4 linked regions of the Xenopus tropicalis genome follow. The protein of the gene in region 2 interacts with the protein of the main gene of each other region in a biochemical or structural test. Links are inferred from orthologs where the notes say so. Each region holds a gene or a part of one and is shown on either strand. Other genes may lie near its edges. The genes, in order: topors, top1.1, srsf1 and nkx3-1.

The links.
Region 1: of the proteins of top1.1 (region 2) and topors, one has a biochemical effect on the other in vitro, tested with the Homo sapiens proteins (2 studies listed by BioGRID). The link is inferred for Xenopus tropicalis from reciprocal best matches to the Homo sapiens genes TOP1 and TOPORS.
Region 3: the proteins of top1.1 (region 2) and srsf1 form a complex in vitro, tested with the Homo sapiens proteins (2 studies listed by BioGRID, with this or other methods). The link is inferred for Xenopus tropicalis from reciprocal best matches to the Homo sapiens genes TOP1 and SRSF1.
Region 4: the proteins of top1.1 (region 2) and nkx3-1 form a complex in vitro, tested with the Homo sapiens proteins (2 studies listed by BioGRID and IntAct). The link is inferred for Xenopus tropicalis from reciprocal best matches to the Homo sapiens genes TOP1 and NKX3-1.

What each region holds. Positions count from the first base shown.
Region 1 is NC_030677.2:115,115,466-115,122,249, reverse strand, and holds the end of topors (E3 ubiquitin-protein ligase Topors), read left to right. Parts: coding exon 1-28; intron 29-1,980; coding exon 1,981-4,977; 3' UTR 4,978-6,682; downstream 6,683-6,784. UniProt on the Homo sapiens protein: Functions as an E3 ubiquitin-protein ligase and as an E3 SUMO1-protein ligase. Probable tumor suppressor involved in cell growth, cell proliferation and apoptosis that regulates p53/TP53 stability through ubiquitin-dependent degradation.
Region 2 is NC_030686.2:40,920,471-40,928,580, reverse strand, and holds part of top1.1 (DNA topoisomerase 1), read left to right. Parts: intron 1-1,462; coding exon 1,463-1,550; intron 1,551-2,042; coding exon 2,043-2,316; intron 2,317-2,711; coding exon 2,712-2,764; intron 2,765-2,849; coding exon 2,850-2,939; intron 2,940-3,433; coding exon 3,434-3,506; intron 3,507-3,636; coding exon 3,637-3,731; intron 3,732-3,813; coding exon 3,814-3,929; intron 3,930-4,133; coding exon 4,134-4,255; intron 4,256-4,349; coding exon 4,350-4,472; intron 4,473-4,594; coding exon 4,595-4,782; intron 4,783-4,885; coding exon 4,886-5,030; intron 5,031-5,151; coding exon 5,152-5,295; intron 5,296-5,804; coding exon 5,805-5,990; intron 5,991-6,106; coding exon 6,107-6,175; intron 6,176-6,267; coding exon 6,268-6,382; intron 6,383-6,893; coding exon 6,894-7,021; intron 7,022-7,361; coding exon 7,362-7,456; intron 7,457-7,833; coding exon 7,834-7,983; intron 7,984-8,110. UniProt on the Homo sapiens protein: Releases the supercoiling and torsional tension of DNA introduced during the DNA replication and transcription by transiently cleaving and rejoining one strand of the DNA duplex.
Region 3 is NC_030678.2:76,101,633-76,110,455, forward strand, and holds srsf1 (serine/arginine-rich splicing factor 1), read left to right. Parts: upstream 1-3,450; 5' UTR 3,451-3,704; coding exon 3,705-3,898; intron 3,899-4,879; coding exon 4,880-5,121; intron 5,122-5,948; coding exon 5,949-6,121; intron 6,122-6,372; coding exon 6,373-6,567; 3' UTR 6,568-7,545; downstream 7,546-8,823. UniProt on the Homo sapiens protein: Plays a role in preventing exon skipping, ensuring the accuracy of splicing and regulating alternative splicing.
Region 4 is NC_030679.2:127,286,192-127,294,743, reverse strand, and holds nkx3-1 (homeobox protein Nkx-3.1), read left to right. Parts: upstream 1-2,933; 5' UTR 2,934-3,185; coding exon 3,186-3,417; intron 3,418-4,977; coding exon 4,978-5,381; 3' UTR 5,382-7,259; downstream 7,260-8,552.

The sequences.
Region 1 (6,784 bases), on a different chromosome or scaffold from region 2:
GGGAGCGAGGCAAGAAGCGAATGACACGGTAAGATATGTTTGTGTATAAACTGGAGTGACTGCGTCCCCGAACTATACCCGCTGTCATAATCGGCCTTATAGGTTTCATCGGTGGCTCGGTTTTTCTTTACCTTCCAGTAGTTGTATTAATATTTTACCGGGACCCTTGGTGTAATAGTAATAATAGTGTTCTTTCCAACACCGCCACCACACTGTATACTTCTGCTTCTGTATTTATATGGCAGCTGTCCCCTTGCTTATCTAGGGCTGTCTCGCTAACACACAATTGCTTGCTGACACCAGAGATTCAGTTGGGTTTGTATATGTTTGGCTCCTATGTAGGCTGGGCTTTTCATCTCTGCAGAGGGACGTGCAGGAGAAAGTACTTTCTGGGTACCCCTGTAGGTTCATAACACCAGTGGGAAAACTTAATAAGGTTGTATGTATGTATGTATATATATCTTTATTTCTAAAGTGCTTATTATGTACGCAGCGCTGTACAGTAGAATACATTAATACAAACAGGAGGTTAATAAGATAATAGATAAATACAAAGTATAATAATAAATACAGATAAATACAGCTGCAATAAGTTAAGAGTCGAGGACACAAGAGGATGGAGGTCCCTGCCCCGTAGAGCTTACAATCTATATGGGAGGGTAACTAACAGACACAAATAGGCAAATATAAGTGCTGTAGGTCACAGTAGGTTATTCACCTTTACATTCATTTTTAATGTTATAGAACACCCCAGCGTACAGCCACAGCATATTTATTTTAAACCTGAAACTCCATGGTTTCCATTACTTTAGTGGCTGGTTAAAATAGTCTTATTGATCCTAATGTGTCTATACATTCATAGATCCCTACTACAACCGAATGCAGGCTAAACCATTGAAAGCCCATTTTTTTGCTGAATTAGAATTCATCTGTACGTCTGTTCCTTTTTTACCTGTCTGTATATTATGTCTCCAACAAATTCTCACCTACAGTGTTACCTTTTAGTATGTTATGCAGGTATGGGACCCATTATCCAGAGTGCTTTGGGCCTGGGGTTTTCTGGATAAGGGGTCCTTTCATAATTCAGATCCCCTACCTTAAGTCTGCTAATAAAATTATTAAAACAGTAATTAAACCCAGTAGGATTGCTCCAAAAAGGATTAATTATATCTTAGTTGGGATCAAGTACAAGGTACTGTTTTATTATTACAGAGAAAAAGGAAATCATTTTTTAAAAATGTTAATGATTTGATTAAAATGAAACCTATGGCAGAAGGCCTTTCTGTAATTCGGAACTTTCAGGATAAGGGGTTTCCAGATAAGAGGTACAATACCTGTAGAATGGCCAGTTCTTAGTAACTTTTCAATTCGTCTTCATTTTTCATTTTGTATAGCTTTTAAATGTTTTGCCTTTTTTCTTCTGACTCTTTCTAGCTTTCAAAAGTGGGTCACTGTCCCCCGCAGCCAAAAAGCATTTTGTGAGGCTACAACTTATTGGTGTTTTTTATTACGTATCTTCCTATTCGTGCCTCTCCTATTCATCTCTGTGTCTCAATAATATTACTGCCTTGTTGTAGGGTCATTTAGACCCTAGCAACTAGATAGGTGCTAAAATTCCAAACTGGAGAGCTGCTGAACAAAAAATGGAATAACCGAAAAACCACAGTTAACAAAAAAAAAAATGAAGACTAGTTGCAAATTGTTGAAATTTCTATGTCTTAAAGTTACAGGATAAATTATGGAAATATTTCACGAACCACAATTCATAAAAAAAAATTTAGGTTATCATGCTAAAAGTTAATTTTAAGTTGAACTACCCCTTAAGATACAGTGCAAAGAGATACCGTATAATAATATCATTTAGCGTCACGAAGAGTAGGGATGCATTATCACATTTATTTAGCTTTTGCATATAATGTATAAGTTTACCAAATAAGACTAGTACTGTAAAATTTAATATGTGTTTTTCTTCTTTTTTAGATGATGGCATCATCCTCTAACAATTATTCACTAGATGGCAGCTTTTCACCCCAGGCTGGCACAAGCAAACTACAAAACCATGGTACTGCAACAGATGCTTCCCCAGACTCAAAGTGTCCAATATGTTTGGACAGGTTTGATAATGTGTCACATCTTGATCGATGTCTGCACAGATTTTGTTTCCGTTGCATTCAAGAATGGGCAAAAAACAAAGCTGAATGCCCTCTATGCAAACAGCCCTTTTACTCCATTTTCCATAGTGTCAAAGCAGAGGATGATTTTAAAGAATATGTCTTGAGGCCCACAATGAATGGTTCATTTGCCAGTCCTGATGGACATAGATTTCGTTATCGCACAACTATGAGTAGAGACAATCATGTAGCCATTCGGACATTAAGGTCTTCAAGCACTCAAAGGACATTTTCACCTCCTGACAATGGAATTTTATTTGAAGGGTTTTCAAATCAGAATTTACATCAAAGAGGTGAAGAAATCCACCAGATGATAAGAAGGCTAGCCTCCAGACGACAAGCCAGTGCAGAGGGTCGTTCTATGAGGCAAATTCAAGAGCAAGAACTCATTAACTTCAGAAGAGCTTTGTACCGGTCTGGAATACGTGTGAGAAACATTCAGGATGGCGGACGTTATAGAGATATTTCTGCTGAGTTCTTCCGGCGTAACCCTGCTTGTCTTCATCGGCTAGTACCATGGTTGAAAAGAGAGTTGACTGTTCTCTTTGGTAGCCATGGTTCCCTTGTTAACATTGTACAGCATATTATTATGAGTAATGTCACACGATATGATATGGAAAGTCAAGCATTTGTTGAGGATCTTCGTCCTTTTTTGCTTCACCGCACAGACCATTTCATACATGAGTTTGTTAACTTTGCCCGATGCCCTTACAATATTGAAGCATATGATCAGCATGCAAACTATGATTGTCCTGCTCCTTCATATGAGGAAGGAAGCCGTTCAGAGTCATCTGTCATCACAATATCGCCAGATGAAGCAGATACCAGAGATCCAATTATTCCTTCTGCTGGTCCTGGTGTTGGCCAGACAGCTTGGGATGATGAGACCCCTGGTCCCTCTTATTCCACACTTGAGCAAGCCTCAGTTGCTGTATCCACTACACTAGATATCTCAGAAAGCTCAGACGATGAGCCACCCAGCATAAGACAGACTTCACAAGAAGTTTCCAACAGTGAACCCACAGAAAACCTGCAGGATCAGTCCTTTCCAACTGATGACTGTGTTATAGTAGGGTATGTTAAACCACTGGCAGAAAGAACTCCAGAATTAGTTGAATTGTCATCCGACTCCGAGAGCTCATTGAGTGAGGTTAAGACAGAAGATGCCAAAAAGCCTACGATTAAACCATTTTTCCTAAGTGACAGTAGTGAATTGAGCAGGTCATCATCATCTTTGTACACACCTGCAAAAGAAAAACGTTCACGCAAAACCAAGGGAAAAACCACATCTAGCAAACATTCCCATTCCAGGAAAAAAGAGAAGGGAAAATGTCGACTTGATTTAACTTCTAGAAAGGATAAGGGGGATTTGAACAGTAATTATGCTTTGTCCAGATGGAGGGATAGGTCAAGGAGTTCTGATTGTTATTCTCGTTCTTCTCGCAATAAAAGCCACAACAGTCGAAGGAGGCATTGCAGCAAAAATAATTTGAAACCCAGGAGTCCTGAAAAGAGCAGGCATAAAAGTAGGAAAGGAAGGAAGAAATCTAGTAGTAGGGATCGAAGTCTGTCTTGGAGGAGTAGGACTGTGTCACTAACTAGTGAAAGCTCCAGAGAGAGATGCGAGTCAAGCTCTAGAAGCCGAAATCGAAGTAGGGGTAGGTCACGAAGTCATGATAGTGACAATGATTTTTCTTCCAACAACTATCGCAGTTCTTATCAATGGGAATATACCTATTACAGTCGAAATCGGGATAGAGATGGCTATGAACAGTCCTACAGGAGACGGACTTGTGGTCGAGGACGTTATTCAAGACCCTCTGCTAGCCCAGAATATAAAATTCAGTCTTACTCTGAAAAGAAAGATACAAGAAAGGAGAGGGGATACATTGCTAGTAAACAATATCGCCGTGAGCGATACAGGTCAAGGAGTCGCTCAAGCAGTCAGATGAATACATCAGGGACTGAGCATACCAGATCTGACAAACCAAGTGGAAAAAGAAAATACAAAACACACCATTTGGAAAAGCAGGAAAGGGAAGGGAACAATCGAGAAGTTCCTTCTGCCAAAGAAAAAGAGGGAGGTCTGCAAGCAGGCAAGACTTCTCTTGGCAATCATACTGGTAGTCTCAAAAATGATTTAATGGGTTCATCCTCTGAACCTAAGCAGAAGTTAAGAAAAAAGGCAAGAAGCCCAAGTGTGGAAATAGTATATGAGGGCAAAGCAGTTGAAGGGGCAAAGCACCACAAAAAGAAGAAGAAAAAGAAGCACAAGAAAAAACGACGCAGGGAACACACTAATTCTCCAGCTGCTTCTCCCATCATTATCACCATTGACAGTGACAGTGACACCCCAATGGTGGAGGATCTCCCATGCAATGACCACAGCTCCCTGGTACCTGAAAACAAAACTAGTATTGACTCAACTAACTTCATGCACAGCCAGTCGCCACCTACCTCGACCACAGTAAGTACCACAGAAGTACTAAGTGGAGAAAGGGCAGACTCTGATTCCAAAGCCTCTGATTTATGTTCAAGTAACAGGCACTTAGATGCTGCCACTGGAATACTGGATGGTTTACATTTTGATGATAGCTCTGATGAACAGAATCTGCTCCCTGTACAAAGTCCTCCTAACATACCGGATCTCTGTGAAGTAGAACCTTTAGCAGCTGAGAGTTCCTTGCCAGAGTCTGATCCTATACTGGACAATGTACCACCTACATCAACTTCAGAAATATCTGAACTTCATAAAAGCTTTGCTGAGAGTATATTTGACTTTGATCTCTTAAACAATGTAACATAGCACCAGTTTCCTGTTAAGACTGTTGGACAGGAGACCGCTTCTTGTTTGGTTTATTGGTACCAAATTCTGGCTTAATGAAGACATCTCTGCTTTGATCATTTTCATCTCATTTATTTTAAATGTTGTGTATTTGCTGGCAGTAAAGCATAATTTCCAAAGCAACATTTTAATTCCAGTATCCCTTTACTGATTATTAATTAGGAGTGCATACTAAGTGCATAATTCAATTAAAGGTCTTTACTAGAGTGCAAAATTAAATTATTAAAAGTGGCACATGGAGTATGTGCTTCTCTCCGTGATATTCTATGAACATTGTTAAAGTGATACTAACAAACACACTAGAAAATTTTAAGTAATGCAGTAGTGCCATCTTCAGGACCTGGGGATGGTGCATTGTTTTGCTGTATTGTTGGAGCTAGAGCAGCTAAAAAAAAAAAAAGGCAAACAGCCCTGAAGAACAATGATTTCCAGTGCTTAGTGATGTTCTGGGACACCAGGTCCTGTGGACGACATTATTGCTTTGCTTAGAATTCACAACTCACCATCACTTTAAGCTTTAAAAAAACCCTCTTATGGTTGAATTGTTAACAATAAAAAAAAAAAAAAAAACCTTATATCCACCAGAAGACTTACTCCCTCCCATAGGTGCTAAAGTTCTCCAGTGCAGTAACTCCAAACAGCAAATAAAACAAATGTCTGGTTGGTTGCTATAGTTTGATGCACTAGTGCATTTTAAGGGGGATCTCCAGACAAAAACTTTCCTATATACATTGTTTTTTTTAATGGTTTTGAAGCTATTTGTAAATGTATCTGCAATGTAAAGCAGTTTTCTGTTTCTGAACAGCCAGACATGACTGATTTCAAAAGCAAATATATTTACAAATAATATGTTTTAGGCAACTCATGCTTAAACACCTTAGTCCCCTGTCAGCTGTTTGTAATATTAAGTGACTCAAATGACTAAAGTGATCACCTTTGAGCCTGTCACTGCTACAGATGTATGTTTTTACTTTGCAGGAATAGAAGTTGTTTAGATCTGGCAGAAACTGTTGAGCTTCAATCACCCCAAGGGAAGATTTATCAAAATCCAAGATAACCGCTCACCAAAGAAAAATCCACCCACCTTCTATTCATTCCTATGGGATTTTTTCACCCATAAATACGCTTCTAAAAATTTCATAGGAATGAATAGAACGTATGTGAGTTTTAAAAAGTGGGTCAGTTTTTTTTGTAGTGAGCTCTAATTTTACACTGTTAAATCTGCTCCAAAGAGTGAAGTTAGAGCTCGCCACAATCTGTTAAAGTAAAATTCCACCACAAACCTTCATTTCTATGTCATTTTAAAAGACATATTTATCAAAGGGTGAACTTTCATTTATTGATAAATACTATTTTTAAAAATCCCATAGAAATTAATGGAGAATGACAGTATTTCACTTTAGTGGACTGTGGCAAGCTCTAACTTCACACTTTGATAAATATACCCCATTGGTTTGTTTTTCACATGCTTTGGGTCTACCAGCAGATGAAGAACATGAACAAGGGTGAATTTATTTAGGGATAAGTTACTCAACAACCCTGGCATCATTTTCTTAATTGACTGGTTAGTTTCTTGGAGGTCTACACAATATAGACTACCAGCCTAGTTTAGTAGAATGTTACTGCCCTTCCCAGTATTTCCTTATCAGGAGACAGTTATGCATAACTCTCAAAGAAAAAAGTTAAGAAACATGAAGGGCTGGAATGAGTTGTAAGATAATTTAACAATAAATTTGTGGTCCACAGATGAAAAGCTCCCCAAATAACC
Region 2 (8,110 bases):
GCGGGGATTGGATAATTATACCCGATGTAAGCAACTGGTTACGGCTTGGAATTTGTGCATTTATCTTCTACTGGCAATGGAACGTTCCTGGAAAGCCGAGCAGGTGGGACGTCTGTTTACCTGATGGGAGCATTATAATGTTTCAATTGCCATGGCTGCTCATCTGGCTTCCACCTGTTTCCCCAAAGGAGGAATCCGGGATTCTGTGCATTCCCTTTACATAGAGTATGTAGGATGTGTTTAGTAGGTAGAAAAGTACATTCTGGGCCTAGGAGGGACTGAGCCCTTAAACATTTGAGATCCCATGGTATTTTTGGGAATGCATACTGGGATCACTGGGAACCACTGCACTGACCCCAAATTCAGACTGTAGGCCTGGTCCTCCTAGTGAGGCCCATATAACTGGCTGGGTGGGGGGGAGGCTAAAGGCTGGTAATGGTGAAATTTGAGGAGAATAATAATAATAATGTGTAACTCAAGCCATTTCTGGTGGCCAGTTGTGATCCCCTGACCTATTGTTTAATGCCATAAATGCCATATTTATTAAGTATACTCAATTACCAAGTATGCTTATTGGCTTAAGGACAATGGCATAGGTAGGTAGTTTTCTCCAACTTGCTTGCACTAGTACAAGGTTCATACTATACAAAGGAAAAGTGAATCAATCAAAATGAACAATCACTTATTTAAATGTTAGGGGAAACGGAACTGCAGTGTTTCAGAGCTTTCCGGATAATGGGTTTGTAAGTAATGGAACCCACAAATTATGGTGCACACAGTCGTAGGGATAATTATCCTTGTGTTTCGTAAGCATTGCTATTTCCCAGTAAGTATATAGAATATACACAAGCTTAGTTATGACTGATTTCCCTGCATAATGTGATGCTGAAGGATGGGGCACCTCAAATGGTTGTAAATACAGAAAACAATAGAACATAATTATAGCGAGCACCTATTAAGTTAAAAAAACATTGGATACCGTTCATTTCTTTCAGACCCATGCCACCCCTCCCAGTGACCCAGTTTGGCAATTGGGGTTGTTATAGAACAATTCTTTAGCCCCAGACAGTCTATTGTCTAATTGCAGGTGGGGACTTCAAAAATCAATAGCTGGGGGCAGTTAAGCTTGCTTGGCCATTTCTGGTAGGTGGCAGTGCCTTCCTGCTGTCAGTCTGCTATTGAAGCTGCTCTGCCCTGTAGGCATGTTCCCTTCCACCCAACGCATTCCGCAAATATCAGCCTGGTAACTGCTCGTTCTCCTGGTTATTAACCCCTAAAACCACAGTCTGCCCTGGAGGAAGTGTTTTTAGCTTTTAAAAAAACAAAACAAATTGTAGTGTATAAATTACAGGCTAAACCTCGTGGTAGCCAGCTTGCCTGTCCCACTTAGCCTGCCAGGGCTGTTTGCTTTATAAAGGGTAACTTGTTTAGTAACTGATTTTTTGTTTTCTCCGGGATTTAGACTCTCATAAACACAAGAAAGACAAAGAACATCGCCACAAAGAACATAAGAAAGACAAAGACCGGGAAAAATCCAAACACAACAACAGGTATGTTCCTACCTTTCCTGAAAGGGCTGCTGACTCCATTAGAAAATCTCACAAGTTAAATTAGTGGGATAGTTATTGATACTGAAGCACTTATACGTTTGTGGGACAGCTAATATAGGGAATCAGGGCCATGTCTAGGCTGTTTATCCATGTAAAAGGTGTCCTGCCTTATAAAATGATTGCTATAAGGATAAGTGGTTATAAAGTGCTGTGTGGCCTTAGCCATCTTTAAGTTTGTAGTAGGAAAATGTACTGCTTGTATGAATAAATACAATATGAAGATAGACAAGGCTAGGATCTGGACTACATATTTAGCACAAACTGTACTTGGCCAGCCGTGTTTCTCTGATGAAAATCTAACAAATTAAAAAAGGAATCTCCTGAGCCCATACATAGACCAGTGCCATCGCAGCAGCTATATGCCCATGAATTGGATGTGGGAGATTTAGTGTTTGCAACCTACAGCTCTTTTTTTCTGTTTTTCCCCTCCAGTGAACACAAGGATCCTTCAGAAAAGAAGCATAAAGACAAACACAAAAACAATGACAAACATCGGGAAAAGGATGGCGAGAAACACAGAGAAAAAGATGGGGAGAAACACAGGGACAAAAATGGCGAGAAACACGATAAGCATCGAGAGAAAGATGGCGAGAAACATAAAGATGGAGAGAAACACAAAGAGAAAGATGCTGAGAAGCATAGAGATGGAGAAAAGCATAAAGATAAACACAGAGATAAAGATCGGGAGAAGAGAAAAGAAGAAAAGGTGAGGCTGTCATCTCCATTAAGGTGGCCACACACGTGGCGATTTGGGATGGTCGCACGAAAGATCGTTCAATCAGCCACTAACTGTTCAGAGCTGAAACGGCAGATAAGGTGGTAGAAACAATAGGATTTCTACCTCCTTCTGCCGATTCAGCTCTGATGGCAGAACTTGCTCAGGCTCCTTCTATGGCGCCCGATCAAAATCTTTTAACCGGTCCGATCGGCGAGTTGACCGATATATCAGCAGCCTCCTGCGATATTGGTCGACTCGCCGACTTGCCATACACGCACCGAATATCATACAAAACGAGGTTTTGAGGACCTCCTGCACTCATATTTATTGTATTCACTATGACCAGTATCACTGTTTAACCTGACTGCTTTTATCTCTTGCAGATGAAATCTTCCAGCGGCAGTGTTAAAGTGAAAAAAGCAAATGGTTTCTCTAGGTAAAGGCAATGGGTCGGTAGAGCAAATATACTGCCACTGGGTGCGGAGTTTCTCTTATTGAACACCCTGCTTCTTCTCTTCTAGTCCTGTGCGGGTTAAAGATGAGCCAGAAGATGACGGCTTCCACATGTCCCCCAAGGAAAATAAGGCAATGAAGAGGCCAAGAGACGATGAGTACGTGAGCAGGGAATGGTTAGAATGGTGAAGGGAGTAGGTTGTCCACCTACTACTGCACTTGTATTCCTCTCATCCAAGATTAATAGCCGCAGTCTTAATAGAATGAGTTGGAATAAATGTCATCAACCTACTCTGCCATATTGCTTGCTTCAGATATTCCGGAGTTATTCTATATAGGTAATATATAAGGAGGGAATACACTAGACAATCTAAGTCTTGGCACAAAGCTGGCCTTTCCAAAGGGCATTTAACAGCCTGGCCTTGAGTTTCACAAACTGTATTGTACTGTGACTGTGTAAGATATGACAGTGTCCAGCCAATAGCTTACATATAACTGAAGCAGTGTGTATGTGGTTTTTACCCCCACCCTCTTTTATTAGAATGAAACTCTGCCCACACAAAATGTTGTCATGTAGCAGATCATAAAGCAGAACTGCCCTAAAGTTTTCCTGTGGGTGCTGATTTTACCTACTGTGTCATTCTGGTTTTAGTGAGGATTACAAACCTAAGAAGATCAAATCTGAAGATGAGAAAAAAGGGAAGAAGCGGAAGCAGGAGGAAGAGGTGAGGTCTATTGCGGAGTAACTAAGGGGCATATTATCCTTTGTAGGCCAGCATCACCAATTTATGCCCCTAAGTGTCCATCTGGTTGGTTGTTTAGGAAGCAGTTTAAAAACATAGTTTCCCTTCACAGGATATTAAGCCCAAGAAAAAAAGTAAGGGCAAAGGCAACGAGGGGGAAGTGAAGAAGAAAAAAGTAAAAAAGGAGGAGGAAGAGAAGTGGAAATGGTAACCGCTTCGTGCCGTGCGTTATTGTATTTTATGGACTGTACAGCATTTCTTCCATTTCTAACACTTCTAACTCCTATAGGTGGGAGGAGGAGCGGCATGCTGATGGCATTAAGTGGAAATTCTTGGAACATAAAGGACCAGTGTTTGCTCCCCCCTATGAACCTCTCCCTGACAATGTGAAATTTTACTATGATGGTAAGTGGCTCTGCAGTATTCCCAGGTGTCCCCGTGCCTTCAGGTACCAGCTTTGCTTTTGTACTTGCTGTTAATAAACCACTTACCTATACAACCCCCTTGCTGGTAGAATAATTGGGAATAAACCCCTGGCCCTTCATATCTGCAGAGGATGGTGAATATATTCAAATGGGCCTTTATCCTTATATCTTCTGCTCGCTGCAGGTAATCTTGTAAAGCTCAGCCCAAAAGCCGAAGAAGTGGCCACGTTCTTTGCAAAAATGTTAGACCACGAGTACACTACTAAGGATATCTTTCGGAAGAACTTCTTCAAAGACTGGAAAAAGGTAGTTTTTTTTTTTTTTTTTTTCTTTGTTTGATTTAATCCCTAACTCTTTGAATCTGTCCAACTAATTCAACCGACTTCCTGGCCGCTTTCAGGAGATGACAGCCGACGAAAGAAACCTAATCACCAACCTGGGCAAATGCGACTTCAACGCGATGAGCCAGTACTTTAAAGAGCAATCGGAAGCGAGGAAAAACATGACAAAGGAAGAGAAGCAGGTGCTTAACCTTGAGAAATTGAGTTTTGCTCAGTAATGCAGAACAATTAGCTGCTATGGGTTCTAGTCGATAATAGGTCAGACAAGGGATTTTGGGCCTCATTTCTTTTATTCCTGCTACAGAAAATCAAAGAAGAGAATGAGCGGTTACTGCAGGAGTACGGCTTTTGTGTCATGGACAACCACAGGGAACGTATTGCTAACTTCCGCATAGAACCTCCCGGCCTGTTCAGGGGCAGAGGAGATCACCCCAAGATGGGCAAACTTAAGAAGAGGATAATGCCGGAAGACATCATCATCAACTGCAGCAAGTATGTAAAAACCCAGCAATACCAATTTGTGTTCATGTACCTTGTGTGTTTGGAATGTAGGAATTTTTTTTATTATCACTTCCCCCACCCCCCTTGATTTTAGAGACTCAAAATATCCTGTTGCTCCTGCTGGTCACAAGTGGAAAGAGGTTCGGCATGACGGCAAGGTTACATGGCTGGTATCATGGACAGAAAACATTCAGGGTTCCATCAAATACATCATGCTCAACCCTAGCTCCCGAATCAAGGTAAATAGATAATTATGGGCAGCCTGGCCACTAAGGCACTTCTGTTGTTGCTTTATATCCTAATGGAAATGGATCTAGAAAATTGAATTCCTGCAACTAACAATTCCTGTTTGCCTTTCAGGGTGAGAAGGACTGGCAGAAGTACGAGACTGCCCGAAGGCTCAAGATGTGTGTTGAAAAGATCCGCAATACTTACAAAGAGGACTGGAAGTCCAAAGAGATGAAAGTCCGACAGAGAGCAGTAGCGCTCTACTTTATAGATAAGGTGAGGCCCTTTTGTGTTTGATAGATACAAAACTGCGTTTGGTCTTGCATGTGTCTACTCGGCCCATCAACACTGCTAAACTATTAGGATATATAACAAAGGTCAAGGGTGGGTTTCAACAACCCATCCCGTGAACCTGTCTGATTGCAGATGATACTGTCTGCTGTTCTAAATGGGATGATGGGAAGTGGCCATGCATGTTTATTGCAACTAGTACAGTATACACTGCTTGTTGTGTCCTAAGGAGGTATGGGTCAGGTCATCTAGGCAGGCCTGCAACTAAACTAGATATTTTTGCAGTCCAAGGATTATCCCAGACAGCAGAGGCTATTCCTGAAGTAGTCACTGTATAGGCTGTATGCCTTCCCATTTTGTGGAATTCTTTCTTGTGACCCTAAGCTATTCCAGGAGTGCTGCTGGCCTGGCATTACTTACCCCCCCCCCCCCATGTTTGTATGTTTCACCTTAGCTTGTATCCTAATTCTACCCACCAAATCAATCCTTTTCAGCTTGCATTGAGAGCTGGCAACGAAAAGGAAGAGGGAGAAACAGCAGATACTGTAGGTTGTTGCTCCTTGCGAGTGGAGCACATCAATCTCTTCCAAGAGTTGGACGGCCAAGAGTTTGTGGTAGAGTTCGACTTCCCGGGTAAAGATTCCATCCGCTACTACAACAAAGTGCCAGTGGAGAAAAGGGTAAGTATACGGAGTTGCATTTCTAAATTTGTTTAGCTGAAAAATCTCCCCAATAAACATGGAAGGAAGCTGTGACTTTATGTACTAAAATTTTCCTTCTCTGGTGCTCTGCTCAGGTTTTCAAAAATCTTCAGCTCTTCATGGAAAACAAGCAGCCTGACGACGACCTGTTTGACAGACTCAACGTATGTAGATTTGACTTTGGACATTCAGGATTTTTCTGTAAACCTGCCTAGGACATATGAAGGTTTATGTCTTTTTATATCCCTTCTTTCAGACAAGCATTTTGAACAAGCACCTTCAGGACCTGATGGAGGGACTAACAGCCAAAGTATTCAGAACATATAACGCCTCCATCACCCTGCAGCAACAACTAAACGAACTCACTAACGGTAAGGCCCCTTTCTTACCCTACGTGGGCTGTAACTAGCGGGGGGTGTCTTATTAATACGTTTCTAAATAAATGTTCTATTGTGTTCTTAAAGATGGCATTATTATATTCCTCTGTCAGCTTGCTCATGAGTCCTGTTGTGACACTCTTCAGGTACAGGTATAGGATTTATTATTCAGAGTAGTTGGGACCTGGGGTTTTCTGGATAAGGGATCTTTCTGTAATGTCTATCTCTATACCTTGTCTTCTAAAAAAAATTGTAATCATTAAATAAACTCACCAAAATGGATTCATACAGCTTCGTTTGGAGCTTAGAAGCTACGGTTGTGTTTTTACAGAGAAAAACGTAATTTTAAAAACTAAAATTTTTGCCTTAAACTGAGTCTATGGGAGATGACCTTTCCTGTATTGGATTTCCAAATAACTGATCCTATATCTGTATTCCTATAATCTGACGTCTGAGAACCCTTTATGTATAACTGCTTGTGTAATAGTATTTTGGCTTGTTTCAGGTGATGACAATGTTCCCGCCAAGATCTTGTCCTACAACCGTGCCAACAGAGCCGTCGCCATCCTGTGTAACCATCAGCGAGCCCCTCCTAAAACGTTTGAGAAATCCATGATGAACCTACAGGGAAAGGTGAAGTTTGTGAATGTTTGGGTTAAAACCCTCTGTCTGTAAAGCTGGTGCCACCTACACAAGGGCACCAGATTGGTTACATAGGGTCCCTCCCTTTGGGTGGGGGGGGGGTGTATACTCACTGCCAGGGCAAAGGCACTTTGGGTGTTCTGATAACTCTTAAATATAATTAAGGCCTGACACATTTTCATTTGTCAAGTCAAGCCTTTTTTTTTTTTTTTTTTTGAGATGAAAGGATATGGTCTGAGCGAAATGAATCTGCAGCGTGACCGTTATTTGTGACGTTTAGCTCTGATGCCTGAAATGCACCTTTTAACTTTGCTTGTGTTTTGGGTTTTAGATCGATGCAAAGAAGGATCAGTTGATGGACGCCCGGCGAGAGTTAAAGAGCGCAAAAGCAGATGCCAAGGTCAAGCGGGATGAAAAATCAAAAAAGTAAGAGATAGCAAAATACGGTTTATTAGTACCACACCTTTAGGGCTACTAAACTGAAAATCATTATTGTAGCACTTCATTATTTTTAGCACTTTTATATTCCTATGTAAGCTTGCTCGTGCCACGAGTCTCGGTGAGACGGCAGGAGCAATTGCTTGTGCCAGTGGTATAGTAAGGGAGCAAGTGCCTGCGTGCTGTGGCAGCATGATCGACTTTCTGCAGAATGGAGAAACTGGATTACGCAACCACTGCAGTTCGCATGTGTTTTTAATAGCTAAGGTTTACATTGAACTTCTTTATCGGGCTCTGTATGCTTTTGTTGTTGTTTTGTGTGTGTGTACACACACTGGGAACTGATTACACTTTTATACCCACAGGCTTGTGGAAAGCAAAAAGAAAGCTGTACAGAGGGTAGAAGAGCAACTAATGAAGTTGGAGGTTCAGGCCACAGACAGAGAAGAGAACAAACAGATTGCTCTTGGAACCTCCAAACTCAACTACCTGGATCCCAGAATCTCTGTGGCATGGTACGCCTCCTCCTCCTCCAACGTAAACCCTCAGTGTCACTCATAGAATGCTGGGAAGCCATGAACGACTTATGTTGTATATTGTACATTTATATCTGTGTCTGACTCAGGCAACAAGGGGAACTTC
Region 3 (8,823 bases), on a different chromosome or scaffold from region 2:
TAGCTCATACCCCCACAGTGTTATTTGTTCTATTCTTTAGGAAGCATATGCTTTGTTCCCTCCTAGTAGATAAGGTAAACTGTAGTGAGAGGATGTTGAGCTTTTTTTTAGGCATGGAAGAATAGCATTGTTTATACCCTAATTCCAACAGTTTTTGTGAAAAGCGCACGCTTCAGGAATTCAAGACTTCATTCATCTCAGTGCTCCGTAAACAAGGGGATTATCTGTTCTGGAACACTGGTTCTTCAGGACATGTATCTGCATCTGGCAAGCACACCAAGATTTCATTAGCACTGTCATGAGGAATTGCAAGATCCAAGATTATCAATTATAATTTATAGCCCTTCTCTTCAGCCTCTCATCTTCCCATAAATATCATTAACACATTTATGGTGCTTGTAGTAGTATATACACTGTACTACACTTAGATGATTGACTGATATGTTCAGGATTTTCAAAAAGTTACTACTAAATCAAATATTATTGCCATGCAGCACACACAGTTCCTGGATGTATTGATGGATTACTCTCAAAGCCAGACTGTTCTTCCCAAGAAATTCCAAGTCTGACAACAACCCTTTTTAATCTTTCAACACAGGCAATAACCCCAAAAATACTCTGTATTTAATGATTACTTTTTAAAAGTCTGCATCAGTTCTTGCTTGAGTGATTGCTGCCTGTTGAACAGGAACCCACTGCAATGTGTGGAAGAACAGACCATGTAAACAGATCACCATGTACTGGACTTTTTGCACATAAAACTGTAGTTATTTGACTACATGAGTCCATGCCAGAGGCAATTAATGTGGGGGTTTTGAGGTGACGTGGAGTCTGGGGTTTTATGCTCTCCAGCTCCAGTGGACTGCAGTTTGTGCTGTGTTTGTAAACAGAGCAGGTTTTTGTGCCCATAGCATTGTGCTATATTCTAAGAAGCACAGGATCTGTATAGGGACATTCAGGTTTTAATACATTTTTTCCAGCTTCAGAGAGGCAAATGGCTAACTGCAGACCCAGATTGGATCCAGATATGACAAACTGGGACGTGACTAATCTATACCCACAGCAGACTGATAATTCACTGCAACTATTCTGTTTAAAATACATAATCCACAGCTCTAGAATTCAGCATGAACTCCAAACTTTAGGCACAAAATTGACAATTGTTTCCCTTTTTGGTACCGTTTGAGTGGATATGTTTTAATTTCATTTTTACAACTGTATGGATTTAGATACTAGAACAACAACAAATTCCTTCTTTTGAAACGGATGCCCTTGTGTCTGCTGGAAGGACCTACTGGTAAATAAAGCATTAGAGAGATAATATGGTCCCCTTATATAGTTATACATATATACGGGGATCATAAATGAGAGCGCAATTGCTCTTTTTAATCAGAATTTTTGTTCTTAAGGTTGCCAGAAGCGACACTCCTGTTAACTTGCCCGGCACTACCATCAGAGGCAATTTTTTCAACTTTTCAACGTGCTGCTGCCATGAGGATAGTTAAGAAACTCACCTTTGGTGGCAGCGCCCGGCAAGTTACCAGGGGTGGCAAAAAAAGATCTTAAAAAATAAAAAGTAACAAAGGAAAACTATATCCCCAATCACTGTAGGTCTCTATAAAATGTATTGCATAAACACCCTTGTGTAAAACCCTGCTTCATCTAAATAAACGATTTTTATAAAAATATACTTTATAGTAGTATGTGCTATTGGGTACTCCTAAATAGAAAGTTGCCATTTTAAGAATTAAGGGCCGCCTCCTGTGATCATAGGATTCACAGTGCACACAAACAAGTCAAGGAAAATATGCATGCTGGGCCCCATCAGCCAATTAATGAACAAAGTTCTGCCTTCTTCCTGTTACAGTTAGAGCTGCATTATTTCTGGTCATGTGATCTCTGAGGGCGCACACAGCCCATCACTAAATTGTGGATCAAGGAAAAGGATTTAAAAGGGCAATATTTACTGATATATATATATATATATATATATATATATATATTCCAGTTTGGCGAGATTCTTTAATAGGTCACTCTGCATAATATAAACTATCTGTTGGTTAAGTATTCATTCTGGGGGTATAGTTTTTCTTTAAAGAGATGAAATTCTGAGCGCTATTTCTCTCTCTACAATACCGATGTGGGGGGAAGCATCAACTTGCACACCTATTCATGACAGTACCCCTTGCCCCCTTTGTTCCACTGTCGGAAGTGACCTCTCAAAAGCTATATTAAATTTGTTCAAAGAAATTTTTGTTTGCTAAAAGGCATACATTTTCGAGTATTTTTCTGTTATGGATTTTTTTTACATTCCAGCATCAGTTTCTTAAATACTTTTGCACTTTTTGAAGTGCTTTTCCACTTCAGCCCAGGGTTGCACTCCCTACTCTGTAAAGCGCTGGGCAATATATAAATGTACGTATAACTTTATTTATAAAGCGTTAGAAGGGTACACAGCGCTATACAATCTTACAATATACACAATTACACACAGGGAGGACAACTGTTATAATAAATACAAGAAGTATAAATACACAGATTGAGCGCCATGTGGTGTGAGAGAGTAGGAAGGAGGTCCCTGCCCCATAGAGCTTACAATTTCACTGCCCAATCTAAGCTCGACTAAAATAAAACAAACAAATATGCACAAGGCCCAAACAGGAGTGTAATGTAAGGCATGTATTTATTATCAACACATAAATATTTGTAGAGTGTAAGCTCTTTTGGGCAGGGCCCTCTTCACCTCTTGTATCGGTTATTGATTGCTTTATATGCTACTCTGTATGTCCAATGTATAAAACCCTTTTATTGTACAGCGCTGCAGAATATGTTGGCGCTTTATAAATAAATGTTAATAATAATAAATAGGACAAAGTCTTCCCAACCTTGTTTGCAATATTACCCTGACAGCAGTTACAAAGTATTGAATTGCAGTGCTACTTTAATGGGGAAACCATTGAGAGTGGACCACAGAGACCTTATCCGCACACCCTAACACTCCAAAAAAAATTTTGTACGGTGCACACTGCTAGAGGGATCGGCACCCTCCAAATACACTGTAACAACAAAAAAAGCAATTGGCACTCAGGACTACAAACAAGGGTAAAACCCTTTTAAAAGTTTTATTGCGGAAACCATTGAGAGCACACCTGTAGTTAATGATTTTCATACTCATAATGAATGTCACTGCAGATAAAGAGCTAACAGCCTCCGACCATGGTTCTATAATACAAAACCACCTAACAACAGCCATGGCGCACGACGAGTAACAAAACATTTTTCAAACAACACCCACTGCCCTCCCCCACTATGGGCGCGCATTTCCTGGACGGACGTGACGTCAAGCACAGGGTATAGAAAGCCCCCCTATCACATACAGAGAAGCAGCTTGAGCTCAGGTTTCTAGTATAAATATTACCTCAGTGAATAGATTCTTTCTTAGGGCCGTAATTGGCACATAGCTTTAGGAACATTGCATCGTGAAGACGTGGAAACGAGAGGCTCTATATTGTCTCGGCGTAAGATTACCTTTGTTGAGGACGCACCACTGCGAGTTCTTAGTATCCTTGCGCGGCTAAAGCAAGGGAGGAAGTAACTCCGCCATCTTGTCCAAGCTCTGAAGCGCGCATCGAAGGTCTGTTTGGCTTCCAACTCCATTTCTTTTTCTTCTCAATCCGTCTCCCTTTAAATCCATCAAGCTGGATATGTCAGGGGGCGGCGTGATTAGGGGGCCGGCGGGTAACAACGATTGCCGTATCTATGTTGGCAATCTGCCGCCAGACATCCGCACCAAGGACATTGAGGACGTTTTCTACAAGTATGGGGCCATTCGGGACATAGACCTAAAGAACCGCAGAGGGGGCCCGCCATTCGCCTTTGTGGAATTCGAAGATCCAAGGTAATCCCTGTGTAAATGTTTTTGCTTTGGCCTATCGTGCTAATGGGCTCGCCTAGTGTTAACTGGTGAATAACTACAATATACCTTGAGTGTATCCGGGGGCGGGGTGGTGGTACTGCGACTTTATTTCTGCTGTAGTTGATAAAATGTCGTCCGCTGTTGTATTAGAGTTTATATATAGTCGAGGAGGCCAGTGAGGGGGGGAATTAGGCCTGATTATGGTGCAGGTTATGTTTCAACATCGGTGCGTTGTATCATTATTCAAGTTAATATATTTAGCCTATAATCCCTACAGAGTGGCGCCAGAATGAGGTATTATACACTCATTGTGTATCGCCATTAGCACGTGTAAATCCCTATTTATTACCGCCTTTAGGCAACAGCGCCCCCTGTGTGTGGGACCGAATAGCGCTTCCGCTCTTTGTTCTGCAGCCCTGCACCATGCTTACTAGTGTGTTAAGGGAAGGCATTCTAACAAGCAAATGTGCTTTGGGTTATTTATTGACCTGTTTGCTTTAAAGCCGCTGCCTCATGTCTCTGCTATAAAGCATGCAATTAGGCTCACTGCACTTATTCAACCAGAACTCCTAACACCTTTTATGTAGGCTGCTTGGAGAAGTGCAGTATTGATATTCAATAGCAACACTACAAAATGAATAATGGGTGTTTAAGCATCTGCACTATATGCACATATGTAAAGTATTGGTGAAAATGTACTGTTTAAATGTAAATACAAAAGCTTTTGTGTAGTCATGGGGGCAGCCATTCATGTCTAAAAGACTGTTAAGATACAATGGCTTGCTTACACAGAATTAATCTGGGGTCATGTGTCGTTTGTAGCTCTATACATGACTGTAATAAAGTTTTCTCATTTACAGCCAAGAAAGTTTTCCAGGATATGTAATTACCATTGTAGGTGAATATTCTCTTCTTAACCTGGCATTCTTTAACTAAAGCAATTCTTACCTTGGTTTCTCTTAGGGATGCAGAAGATGCTGTCTATGGTAGAGATGGCTATGATTATGATGGCTATCGCTTGCGTGTTGAGTTTCCAAGAAGTGGGCGAGGAGCTGGAGGCAGAGGTGGTGGTGGTGGTGGCGGCGGCGGAGGAGGAGGTGGTGGAGGCGGCGGCGGCGGTGGTGGTGGTGGCGGCGGAGGAGGAGCTCCCCGAGGGAGATATGGACCTCCATCAAGACGTTCAGAATACAGAGTGGTTGTGTCAGGTAAGAGTTCTATCAGGTGGCAGGTTTAAAAACCAAAGTAAAAACATCAGTTGCAAAGTTTTAGAGGAATAATGCCCATCAGGTTTTTACAAGCAGCGTTATTTCACATGTATACAATAATGAGTTGGACACAGTTATGCATACATTCTAAAGTATTATGCATTCTATACCAGTGGATATGACTGACCATTAATGTATACAAACAGAACTACTAGTATATCTCCCTTTAACTTTAGTTCAGTTAACGGCTTGCATCAGCTTAACAGAACTTAAGCAACTCTCTGCTTGGTCCTTGCAAGGTAGATAATTGTATTACAGTTCACACACAATTCTCCTGCATAATGGACTTCAAACCATGCAGTCACAAGAAAAGGGAAGGATAGGGTATTGTCTTCAAACAAGATATTAAATGGCCCTGTCTGGTTGCTCAGGATGCTATCTGGACTATGAAAACTTGCACATGTTGCTATGTTACCTTCAGTTCAAACATGAAGCACTGCAACAAATTTACCTTTAAAACGTACTAAATGTAAACCCCTGAGTTATTTTAGCAGAATTGGGCTGTTGTGAGTCTCGCTGGAAGCATGGTTCAGATTAAAACAATGGGTTTTCCCCAGGATGCTGTGTTCATTTAAGCAATACAGCTGTCTTTGGACTGTTTTAATGCTCCATGCATTGCTGTATAACCAGCATAGATACCTACTCTTGGAATTTTGGCACTAGAAGTTCATAAACCATTTTAAATTTCCACCATTTGCATGCTTTTAATTATGTATAAAACTGCTTTTGATACCAAATTTGACACTCTGATAACTTTATATTTCTAGGGTTGCCTCCAAGTGGCAGCTGGCAGGATTTAAAGGATCACATGCGTGAAGCAGGTGATGTATGTTATGCCGATGTGTTCCGAGATGGTACTGGAGTTGTGGAGTTTGTGAGGAAAGAAGATATGACATATGCAGTACGGAAGCTGGATAACACTAAATTTAGGTCTCATGAGGTAAATACTAAATTGTTTAGTAGTTTGTGTTAAGTTTTTCTCTACCTATTGTGACTAGCAGTATCTGTTTTACATGACCTCTGAAGCCAATAGTGATGTTGGCCAAATACATAAGGTGCCAAAAGATATGGGAATTTTAAATTTTCTGTATAATGTACTATAGTTGCTTGACTTTTATCGTTCTTTGATGTGCCTAAGTTCATAAGATATTGAAGATTGGCTTGTTCAAATCCAGCTTCTCTCATTGATAGGGAGAGACTGCCTACATTCGTGTTAAGGTAGATGGTCCAAGAAGTCCCAGCTATGGAAGATCGCGGTCACGCAGCCGCAGTCGTAGCAGGAGCCGTAGTAGAAGCAACAGTCGCAGCCGAAGTTACTCTCCAAGAAGAAGCCGTGGTTCTCCACGCTACTCTCCTCGCCACAGCAGATCTCGCTCTCGTACATAAATGAAAAACACGTGATGCTTTTTGTAGACCCTCATGTTGTATACAGTTTTCTTTACTTTCATTTTTTTAAGTCACTGTTTTATTCAATTTTGCCGAAGTGTTGAATCCTTTGTGTAGTATTGCCATCAGACTGGCTCCTTAATGCCCTCATTTCCCTCATGCCTAAAACTGTATTTTAACTGCTAGATTCTTCCAGTTTAGCTAGCCACTCTTCAGAGGCACCAGCTGGTGTTTACTATGGTTATGGCACTGTGGGTTTTGGTGGTTGATTACCATACATTCTAACTTTTTTTTCCTGGGGGAATTCTTGTTTTACCTTGCCTTTTCATGTGTCTTTCTGTAGACATATCTGAAGAGATGGATTAAAGGATTGTGGAGGACATTTCAATCATTTTAGGATTATCAAATGGAGGCTTGAGGAGGATCAGATCAAATATGGAGGCCATGGTATGACTCCAAGTGCTACTGTTAGACAAAATTGGCAGTATTGACCTTATGCTGAAAATTCTTGTTTTAAGAGAACAATTATTCATAAGTGATACTGTGATCTGTTTTATAAATTTAGTCCTGTGCTTGTAGAACATGTCCTTTTTCTATTCCTGTCTGTAGGGGTATTTCCACAATACATGTGAATGTCTTGTGGGCCTCATTCTACTAGGTAGAGTATAATATCAATACTGCTAAACATGCATGTCCTCTGTGGTTCTAAACATTGCTCTTGTTTTAATTGTCACATTAAAAATCAAATGAACTCAGATGTTGGTGTAAATTGCTGTGGGAGGGATACACTTTTTCAGCCTATACCCATTGCAGACTGAGCTTTGCAGATATATGCTGACATTTACATGAATGCTGTTGGCTGCTTGTGACTGATCAGTCATAGCTTATGCATAGCAACTGCATACCAACAACATGCTTACTTTCCTCTGTGATACCTTTTTTAATAAAACTTCACCCACTGTAAAAATGGGCAGTCCTCCTGTGGGTCCAATTGTACTTATTGTAAACTGTTACACACAAAATTACTTTTTTTTTTTTTTGCATGTTTTTTTCTCCTATCTTTTTCATATCCAAGAAGATATAACAGCCTTATGCAAGCTCTACCTGTAGAAATATTTTCTTTGGTATCACTTCCCAGTAACCTATAAATTCCACCTTTTTGTAATTCCTACTCTTGTATTGCTCCCAACAATGAGTCTGACTTTGAATGATACCTTAGTTATGAATAAGGAAGTGCTAATGTGAAATAAATGAACCAACTCTTAGGTAGTCCCATAACCAGCCAGGATATTAGCAAGGATATTGATTAGGGGAGAGAAGTAGATAGTCCTTGTTGATCATACTACTATCTAGTAGTCTGAACACTAAAGCATATGAAACTGGCACATTCAAGCAATGTATGTCTAGCTTAGTCTTATATCTACAAGTATTTGAAGGGTAGTAGTTTGGGCACCAGTGGATTAGATTAGATTACTTTTTCTATTCATCATTGTACATGATTTGGCTTATGCCCAGTGCATTGTACAGTCAAGCTGTTCTCAAACTGGGATGCATGTTATAACATTCCAGTGCATTGCGTCAAAGAATGTGATACTTGCACATACCTTTACTTAGAGACTTGACCCTTACTAGTGGTAGCTATCAGTCTGTGGGGTAGCTCTACTTGGCCTCCTCTAGAGCATTTTTCCACAATCGTTTGAAAGGAAAAGGAAATTTGGTTTATTTATATCCTGGTGGCTTTAACACTGAGCCCTATAATTGTGCTTTTAAAGTGTGATCTTTAGTGGTGCAGGATGATAGGACCCTGTCTAGACTTATTCATGGCATATATGCTACACCCCCAGGTTTTGTTAAATCTATTTGGGCCATGGTAGGACTGCTTTTCTTTTACTTAAAAAGGATGTATCCAATAATGCTCCTGCTGCATGTTCTCAGTGGGTGTTGGTAAAGATATCACAATATGAAAAGTACATCTGTATGTATTCAAGCAACTGCTTCAATGCTGAGCTCATAAGCTTCATGCAAACAAATATTTCAGGTGTAACTATATATCTATATTCCTGCAGATGGAGCAACCTTTATTTATGCATCTGACACTCTGCACAATAATTCAGTTTGGGATACCAGTTGTGGCTGTGTGCTAGATGCTTAAATTGGGTCTGTTTTGTGTGTAAATCCCTATACCACTATTCAATAGATAATTTTTGTTTTGGGAAGCTGTGTAGCTATTTGTGCAGTCCTGCTCCCTGTAGGATT
Region 4 (8,552 bases), on a different chromosome or scaffold from region 2:
TATTGGCCTGATCTGAACAGCCATATGATTGGATCACAATAATGCGCATACAGGCAGTTGGGGTGAGGACCGCATCAACAAGCCAATGTGGTCCTCAATCCAAAAGGAAAATCAAAACTGCCCGATAGACATCTGGCCGATAAATTAGGCTGTTCGCAGCACAGTGGAAGAAGCTGAACCAACACAACTGATGTTGTTAAATGAAGCCATTGAATTGACTTGGTAGCAGAGTTCAGTTCTTAATGCCAGCATCCCCTGAGATTCTGGTTCTTTCTACTCTATCCACCATTTGGCTAAGAAATAGGCAGGTTGGGGAGGGGGAGGACTGAAAAGATACAACAACAAATACAGAAAGAGAGCAAGTTTAAGCGAGAGTCAAGATACACAAGTGAAAGTGGAATATAGGAATAGGGAAAGAGAGGAAATAAAATGCAGCTTTTCTTGAACTACTTCTTAGTGCTTCCCGAACCCCCAAAAGAACCTTGAAATAAAAAGATCCCAATAGACCTACAGTAGGTCCTCGATTTTGCTTAAAAGCACCGTGCCTTATCACAGTTATGTTTAGGCTCAGACTGCCATTCTGTGGATTCTGGCAAATGCCAGAGGGGCTGCTGTAAGATGCCATAGACAGTCACTATTTATTGGGCTGGTGGGGGCTGTTGGGGCCTCTGTGTACTTGTAATGCCAGGGCCTATTTTAATTCCAGTCCGGACCTGCTTATGTGAATCAGTTTTTGGAAAAGTCTCCATGTAGCACAGCACACTACTCTTTAGTTATCCATGTATGGTTCTGTCCAGATTTAGCAGGGGCTCTTGGGCTCTGGAAAGAGTGGTTAGAAAAACCAGACAAATATACTTGTGAGCCTCACTACTAGAACAATGTCTCCAAAAATATAATATTGATAAACATTTTGTGTTGTTGGATTAGAAAACCTGACCTCAAATATTTTTTTTCATCACAACCTTCTAGATTGGCACAAGGTGGCAGCCCCAGACCTGCACAGCAATCAAACAACCTCCTGTGCCCAAACTCCTATAAAACATCTGTGAGTGTGGAACACAGAATTGGCCTGCCTTCCCTATGGGAGAGATATTAGCGCTGCCCAGACAGAATACAAGCCTGACTACTCTGTTCCTGTTTATAGCTGAGGGGGAACGTATACATATGTATATATAATTATTCAGCTCTAATCCAAAAACCCCTGGAGTGGAAGGAGTTTCTTCTTGTGAAAAGGAAGCAGCCCGAGTGGCTGAGACTGGAAGGCAAACACAAGTAAAAGAAGGATTATGCCCAGGAAGCAGGTCTGACCAGTGGCGGGCTGTCTGTGCCCAAGCGTGTGGCAGCACAGGCAGCGGGTGCTGTAATTAACTGCACTATAATTAGCCATTGTCGCCAATAACTAATGATAGCTGTAACCAGAAAAGCATTCTGGGGAATGAATACATGTTATAGGCACTAAACCATTTGCACCCGAGCAGACAATTTTTCCCTCCCACCATGAGAAATAGCAACTGGGTGGGTTCTGGGTGGTATCTACAAGTTACTGGGCCCCTAGTGGAATCATTTTAGGACCCCACTATACTTCGGTAATAAAACATATTTAAACATATACTCAAGCTGTTTTATAGTCAGTCTCCAACCCTCACAATGTCTGCTTCTCCACATAGTGAACTACAACTCTCAGAGCATGCTCACTAATCATTGGCTAACAGAAATTGCTGGGAGTTGTAGTCTAGAACAGTTCAACTGGCTAAAGCAGAAGGAAATCTCAAGCATGTGCCTAGGACACAACGGTGTGGGGGCAGGGGGGGGGGGCGTCATTATTGAGCTGGGGGGCTGTTTGGGCCTCTGTATACTTGAAGCGCCAGGGCCTATTTTGAATCCCAGTCCAGACCTGGTATGAATTGCAGGGCAGTGACATACAGAGAAGTTACTAAACCTCACAGCAAAATCATTCTAAGCCCCTCTACCTTTTGTGAATAAGACCTTTCTTATTAATCTAAATTGACACACTGGCTTGGGCCCCCCAGAATTCACAGGGACAGCTCCCTCTATAGTTTCACCTCTGGTGCAAGGGTTGCAACTGCACTAGGGTATGCAGGGACCAATGGTCCATACTATGATATACCAGAATATAGAGTTGATGTGACAAATGATTATTTGGGATGAGCACGGGGGGACCTTTGTATATGACAGGGGTTTCTGGGAAATGTAGTCTAGCTGTAGCTAGAGTGATACCTGCCAACCCTCTAATTAACTGGAGACTGGCTGGATTCCTCATTGGTTCTTCTATTTACTAGAATGTATGTATATACAATGAGAGTACACTGGGCTTGGCTTCATTCATCCAAATTAAATCCATAGCAGATTTACATGGAACAGGAAGTGTTTACCCTGTAAACAAACAGTACATGGATGTGCAAGAATGAGTGAGAACCACTAATGTGCCAGTGCCTGAGGACTCATTAAGCCCATTATGCTGCTAATGATGACAATTACTGTGTTAGTTAAACCCGCTTAGTCTGATAATCACCGAGTGGCTGCAGTTGCCTTTCTGGTACCAATATATATAGTGCATGTGAATGGCATCCAAGCTGTATATTTTATATGTGTTAACAAAACTATATATATATATATATATATATATATATATATATATATATATATATATATACACACATACATACACTTGGATAAATATATGGGACTGGTAGACTTATGAGAGAGCACAAAGCAAGTTTCCAAGCAGTGTCTTGCACAGTAGCTGTTCCAGCAGGGGAGGGGAGATAAGGATTTGGTGATTCCTCCCCTGGGTGTAACATAAGCTGCTGTACCTGTGTGGGGCAGTCTGTGGGAAGGCAGGGGTGTCAGCCTGGCCAATCAGAAGAAGGCTGGCTTAATACTGGGGAGCTATATGTACTGGAGATGGAGAGGCCAGTAGAGAGATGAGAGAGCAGAGGGCAAGGCGCATTGGTGGGCAAAGTTAGGGTAGCCAGCAGCATAGAACTTACCCACACTCCACCTAAAAAGCCATTTATTATTTTCTATACTTCTGTTTATTACCTGTTATTCCAGAAGTCTAAAACATAATTTAGAAGGTTATTTCCCCTAGCCTGTTTTACCCAGGACAACCTTGCACAATCAGGGTAGGCACCTTATACCCCAGCCCAGAGCACTTAGCGAGGATGTCTCAACAAGGAACAGAAGACCTGTCCCTTCCTGCCAAGCCACTGAAATCCTTCCTCATCCAAGACATTCTGTCACATATAGGACCTGGGAGAAAGGAAAAAAGCCTGGACTCCCCAAAGACAGACCAGGACCAGGATTCTTCCTTGGGGGGCAAGAAGGAGAACTGTACCCCAGAAAAACAACAGTCATCGTCCCAACCTGCAGAGATGCACCACAGCCAGATGGAAGGTCAGTGCAAAAGTTTATATGTCAGGATTATTGACATGAAGGATAACTTACCTTTAGCCATTCCACATAGATGAGCTGGGATGAGTAGTCCTGAACCTGTAGGGAGGTTTGTGCTGGTAACAAGTGATGGGTATATGAGATATGAGATGATACTGTAGCTGAGTACATAGTTAGTTGTTGAGGTTACTTTTAGCCCCAATGTATTATAGTGCTTAAGCTGGTTAGCTCCCCTTGCAGCCTCAGTTTGACTTGTTACCCTATCTTGGAAAGCTTGGTGGCATATGTTCTAATTATGACCCATACAAACAAATGGGTAACATTACTAGCACTGTGTCCCGGTTTTTACAGAATAACTGAAGCTGCAAATGGGCTGATTGAGGTCATTGCTATAAAGTTATCCCCTGCCAAGACTTCCTTTCCTCCTGCTGGGTCCCAGAGTGGAAACAAATGTTTGCCAAGTGGCACCGCTAGAAGCCTAGTCAGGGGTCAGAACACTGCTTGTTGGGAGTCCAGGATGTAGAAATACTTATTAAAATGTAAGATGTGTGGTTACCCTCTGCATTAGGTTTTATTATTACTTCATATTAGAATAGAGCTTTCTGGAGCATTGTACATAAATCTAACTTCCTGTTGTTGTTGAACTACAGCCGTTAACACGTGCCCCTTCTTCATTTTATATTGTGTAGCTCATTAATCAAAGGAACCTATTTTAAAGCAATGTATTAAGCCTTATTGACAAGGTCAAAATAATCTTTCTAGGGCAAATGAATTATGCAAAGCCCATGCAATGCTTATGGGATGTGTCCCAGTGATATGTAGGTAGCAATTGGAGCTAAACATATTTTTACAAATAAATATATATATATATATATATATATATATATATATATATATATTAATAATGCAAAACAGTCAGGACCCCTACTGTGCCCTTCTGTCCCCCTGTAGTTATTGGATATGCTCTGTTTCTATGCCCCTGACTATGGACCAGCTTGTCTCTGATATCTGTATCCTATCTTTGTAATAAGACTGGCCTATGCTTATAATACACAAAAGGCTGTCTTGTACAATATAGTGCTTAATGATGTCATCAGAAATGGCACTTTCAGTGATTCCACTTGTGTAACATGAACTATTAAAGCTTGTGTATTATTACAAAATACTTATATACCCCTATTTAGAATTCCCCTCAGAGTTCTGTGACCTGTATAGAAGCACTGGCCTACAGGTTTTGGTCTCAGGTCACAGAACTTCTTTACGGTGACTTAGATTGTAAGCTTTACGGGGCAGGGACCTCCTTCCTACTGTGTCTCATACCACATGGCACTTACTCCCTGTGTATTTATACTTATTTATTGTATTTATTATAACACTTTTCCTTCCTGTGTGTAATTCTGTATATTTTAAGATTGTACAGCGCTGCATACCCTAGTGGCGCGTTATAAATAAAGTTATACATACATACATACTTCTAATAGCCTAATATTTTGCAATAGAATAGCAAATCATTCTTAGATATATTTCTTTTATTGACTCTTCCCCTTCCTCATCTTTCATCAGATGAAAATGTGGAGCTAGACCAAGCTCAGCCAATATCCCCGGTGGAAAAGAAACTAAAGCTGCAACAGAAACGATCCAGAGCTGCCTTCTCCCACTCTCAGGTCATAGAGCTGGAAAGAAAGTTCTCCAGCCAGAAGTACCTGTCTGCTCCAGAGAGAGCCCAGCTTGCCAAGAGCCTGAAACTGACCGAGACCCAAGTAAAGATCTGGTTCCAGAACCGGAGGTACAAGACCAAGAGGAAGCAGCTGGCCACTGATATGGAGGAGGTAGAGAAGTCCTCAGCTCACCCTGTACGGAGCAGAGACACAGACATCAGCCGAGCTTCACTCCTCAGCTTTTACCAGAACTATCACTGCTACCCCTACCTGTATTACCTGGCAGGGTGGCCCACGCCTCACTGGTGACCTCATCCTTAGGCTACTGGGACTTTCTAAATTATAATATATTTTTCTATTTTAAAACTAATTTTGATACCTTGAAATCTAGCTAGACAGGACTTGTAGCGGGATGAATAGCTATTTAATACTTATACCTTGCACTAAAGGACAATAAAGCCACCTACGATTGGCTGCAATAAGACATTGACTTGAAAACACTTGTTGCTTTTAGTGGAAGATCGCAAATCTATTGTTTCTATATTGCTATTGTTGAGTAATAACTCCCAGCATTCCCTTAGAGTGTTCGCACATAGGGGACTGTGGGAGCTGTGGTTTAGCCAAAGCTTTAAGGTCCCTGCTGGGATTGAGAGTCATTGCTACAAGAGGGTCATATTAAAGTGGTGGGATTTAAGTAAAGGTAGATGTCAAGGCCCCACAACATTGCCTACATGACCTGAAAATCCTAAGATTGGCACATGGGTATCAATGACAAGGACAATCTTATCAAGCTTTGATCATATAAGTAGATCCTAAAACCTGTTCTGTGAGCTCTGACATTTGGGGATCTATGGATTAAGGGCCGCAGACTATAAATCCTTGTCCAATTTAGTGTCATCAGCTTAATCTCTTTCTGTAAGGGAGGGGCAGACGGTATCAGGCCTTGGCTGGGTCTTCCCAGGCCAAGCTTTATCCCTATGCCTCCAACCTGCTAGATCTTTGCACTTAGAATTCTCTTTCTCTACTGGGATCCATTGTTCTTGATAATGTATTCCTATAGCAAGCAGACAAGATCAGCCCTTTCACTTGGGTTACCTATAAAGGAAATTAGCCTGCATGAAAGTAATACTCAAAAGAACCCTGCAGCTGGCCCATGGCACATGTTGGTGTTTTAGCCATCAGAAGTGCCTGAATGTGGCCATGCAACCTGCCATTAAACTTGAATAGAATCTAAAGTTGGCCATACACGCATTGATGATATTGTACAAAACCTCATATTCGGTGCATGTATGGCGGCTCGACGAGGTGACCGATATTGCAAAAGGCTGCGGATATCGGTCAAGTCATCGATCGCCCAGGTTAAAAGATTTTGATTGTGTGCCATTGAAGGTGTCCGAGCAAAATCCACGTTCAGGGCTGAATCGGCAGGTGGTAGTAGAATTTCTATTGTTTCTACCTCCATATCTGATGATTCAACCCTGAACATCATCGAAAATTGCTACAAGAATGGTCACCTTAAGACTAAATAATTAATAGGCTACAATTCTGCTTTTGGGCACTTCTCCGCCAGGAAAAATGGTGGTGTAGAATGCAGTTCGGAACTAGGGGTAGGCAGAAGAAGCACCTGCCTAAGCGGGTACCTCTCCTACCAACCCCTGGTCTGTGCTCCCCTGCCCCCGCCATTTCTATTGCATATATGCGTGCTTCTTCGCACACTTGCTGCGTGCCTATGTGGGGTCGTGGGGGGGCAGGATGTTCGAGGGTGGCATTCAGTTTGACCCGCCCCTAGTAGAATGGAAGGATGTTCCCTGTATGTCATAGGCTTATTTGCTATAACTGTGTTTTGGTTTGTGTTGCTCTCCATGTCTTTTTACATTTGACTGTGGCTCACAACTAAGAAAGGTTGGGGATCCCTGCTATACGGCTACACAGACATAATAAGCAATAGTTCCCTACTTCACCCAAAGCAGCTATGGATAGTGGGAAGATAAGGATACTCCACACCAACATATTATTCACCAACATCTGTGCCAGTGACTGAGCCTGGGGAAGGAAAATATTGGGAATAACTGTGTTTATGTGTGTTATGTGCCCCTTTGGGGAGCTGTGGGGAATTAAATGCCTTATAGTCAGAATCTGACAGTTATGCTGACACTATTTGCAAATAAAAATTGTATATAATAAAAACATGGACAATGAATCTGTAATTATTACTAGTCACATAATTCCTTTAAAGTTTACCTTTAAATTAAGTTAAGGTATGTTGTAAAGAGTGCTATTCTGGAACAATTTGCAGTTGGTCTTCACTTGTTATTATTTGTGGTTTTTGAATTATTTAGTTTTTTACTGTATTTAGCAACTCTCCAGTTTGGAATTTTAGCAGCTATCTGGTTGCTAGGGTCCTCATTTCCCTAGCAACCATGAATTGGTATGAATGAAAAACTGGAATATGAATATGAGAGGTCTGAATAGAAAGTACAAAGTAACAAAAGCCTCACAGAGCAGTAGTTTTTGCTGCTGGGGTCAGTGACCCCCTTTTGAAAGCTGGAAAGAGGCAGAAGACAAAAGCAAATAATTAAAAAACAATAAAAAATGAGAAAAAAGAACTGTCCATTTTATAACATACTAAAAGTTAACTTACACGTGAACCACTCCTTTAATTTACCCCTCACTTGAAACACTGCCAAACCCTGGCCTTCTTTAATGTAAGAGCTAACCAATATTGTACATTTTACATGTCTTTATTGCCCAACTTATTATATGCTCGCCTGTTTCAGGTTAACACTGCCACATATTTTTTGGAGCAGCTGTGGGGGCTACCAATTAGATCATAGCCTTTGGCCCACTTGGTACATAATTAATTTGGGTTAAAAAAGTCTATCAGGGTGAACCCCTTAAAATGAACCCCAGTGTACATATATACACAGCAATCCTATGTATATATACATATCCTATGTATATATACTATAATAGCCCCCCCAACCTTATTTTTTAACTCATGAGTCACATTCAAATGTAAAAGGTTCATTAGCCAAACAAGTGTGATGCAAGTTCCTGAGGTTGCCAAATACGGGCTATGATTGGCTAGCCCATGAGGACTGCCAGCCTGCAAGAGGCTGTTTTTTTATTATACTTATGTCTTTATGCCTCAAAAACTTGCCTTCAAGCTAGCAATTCAATAATTAGCACCTGCTTTGCGGCCACTGGGAACAAAGTGGTGGCACAATACATTGCTGACAAGCCACTAGCCACTACTAGCCTAACCATCCTTCTGTACAATAAATTATCCCACAAACTGGCAGCCTACTAATCATGCTCAAATCCTAGCTGCATCTCCATGCTGACATATAAACATACGGGGAGCATTCTTGTTGGAAAATGTATGAAATATAAATAAGCAAGATCTGGAGCTAAAGATATGATCCATCAAATGGAGGGGAATCAGATAAGGGGGCAGAGATGAGAGGGAAAAGAGCTGGG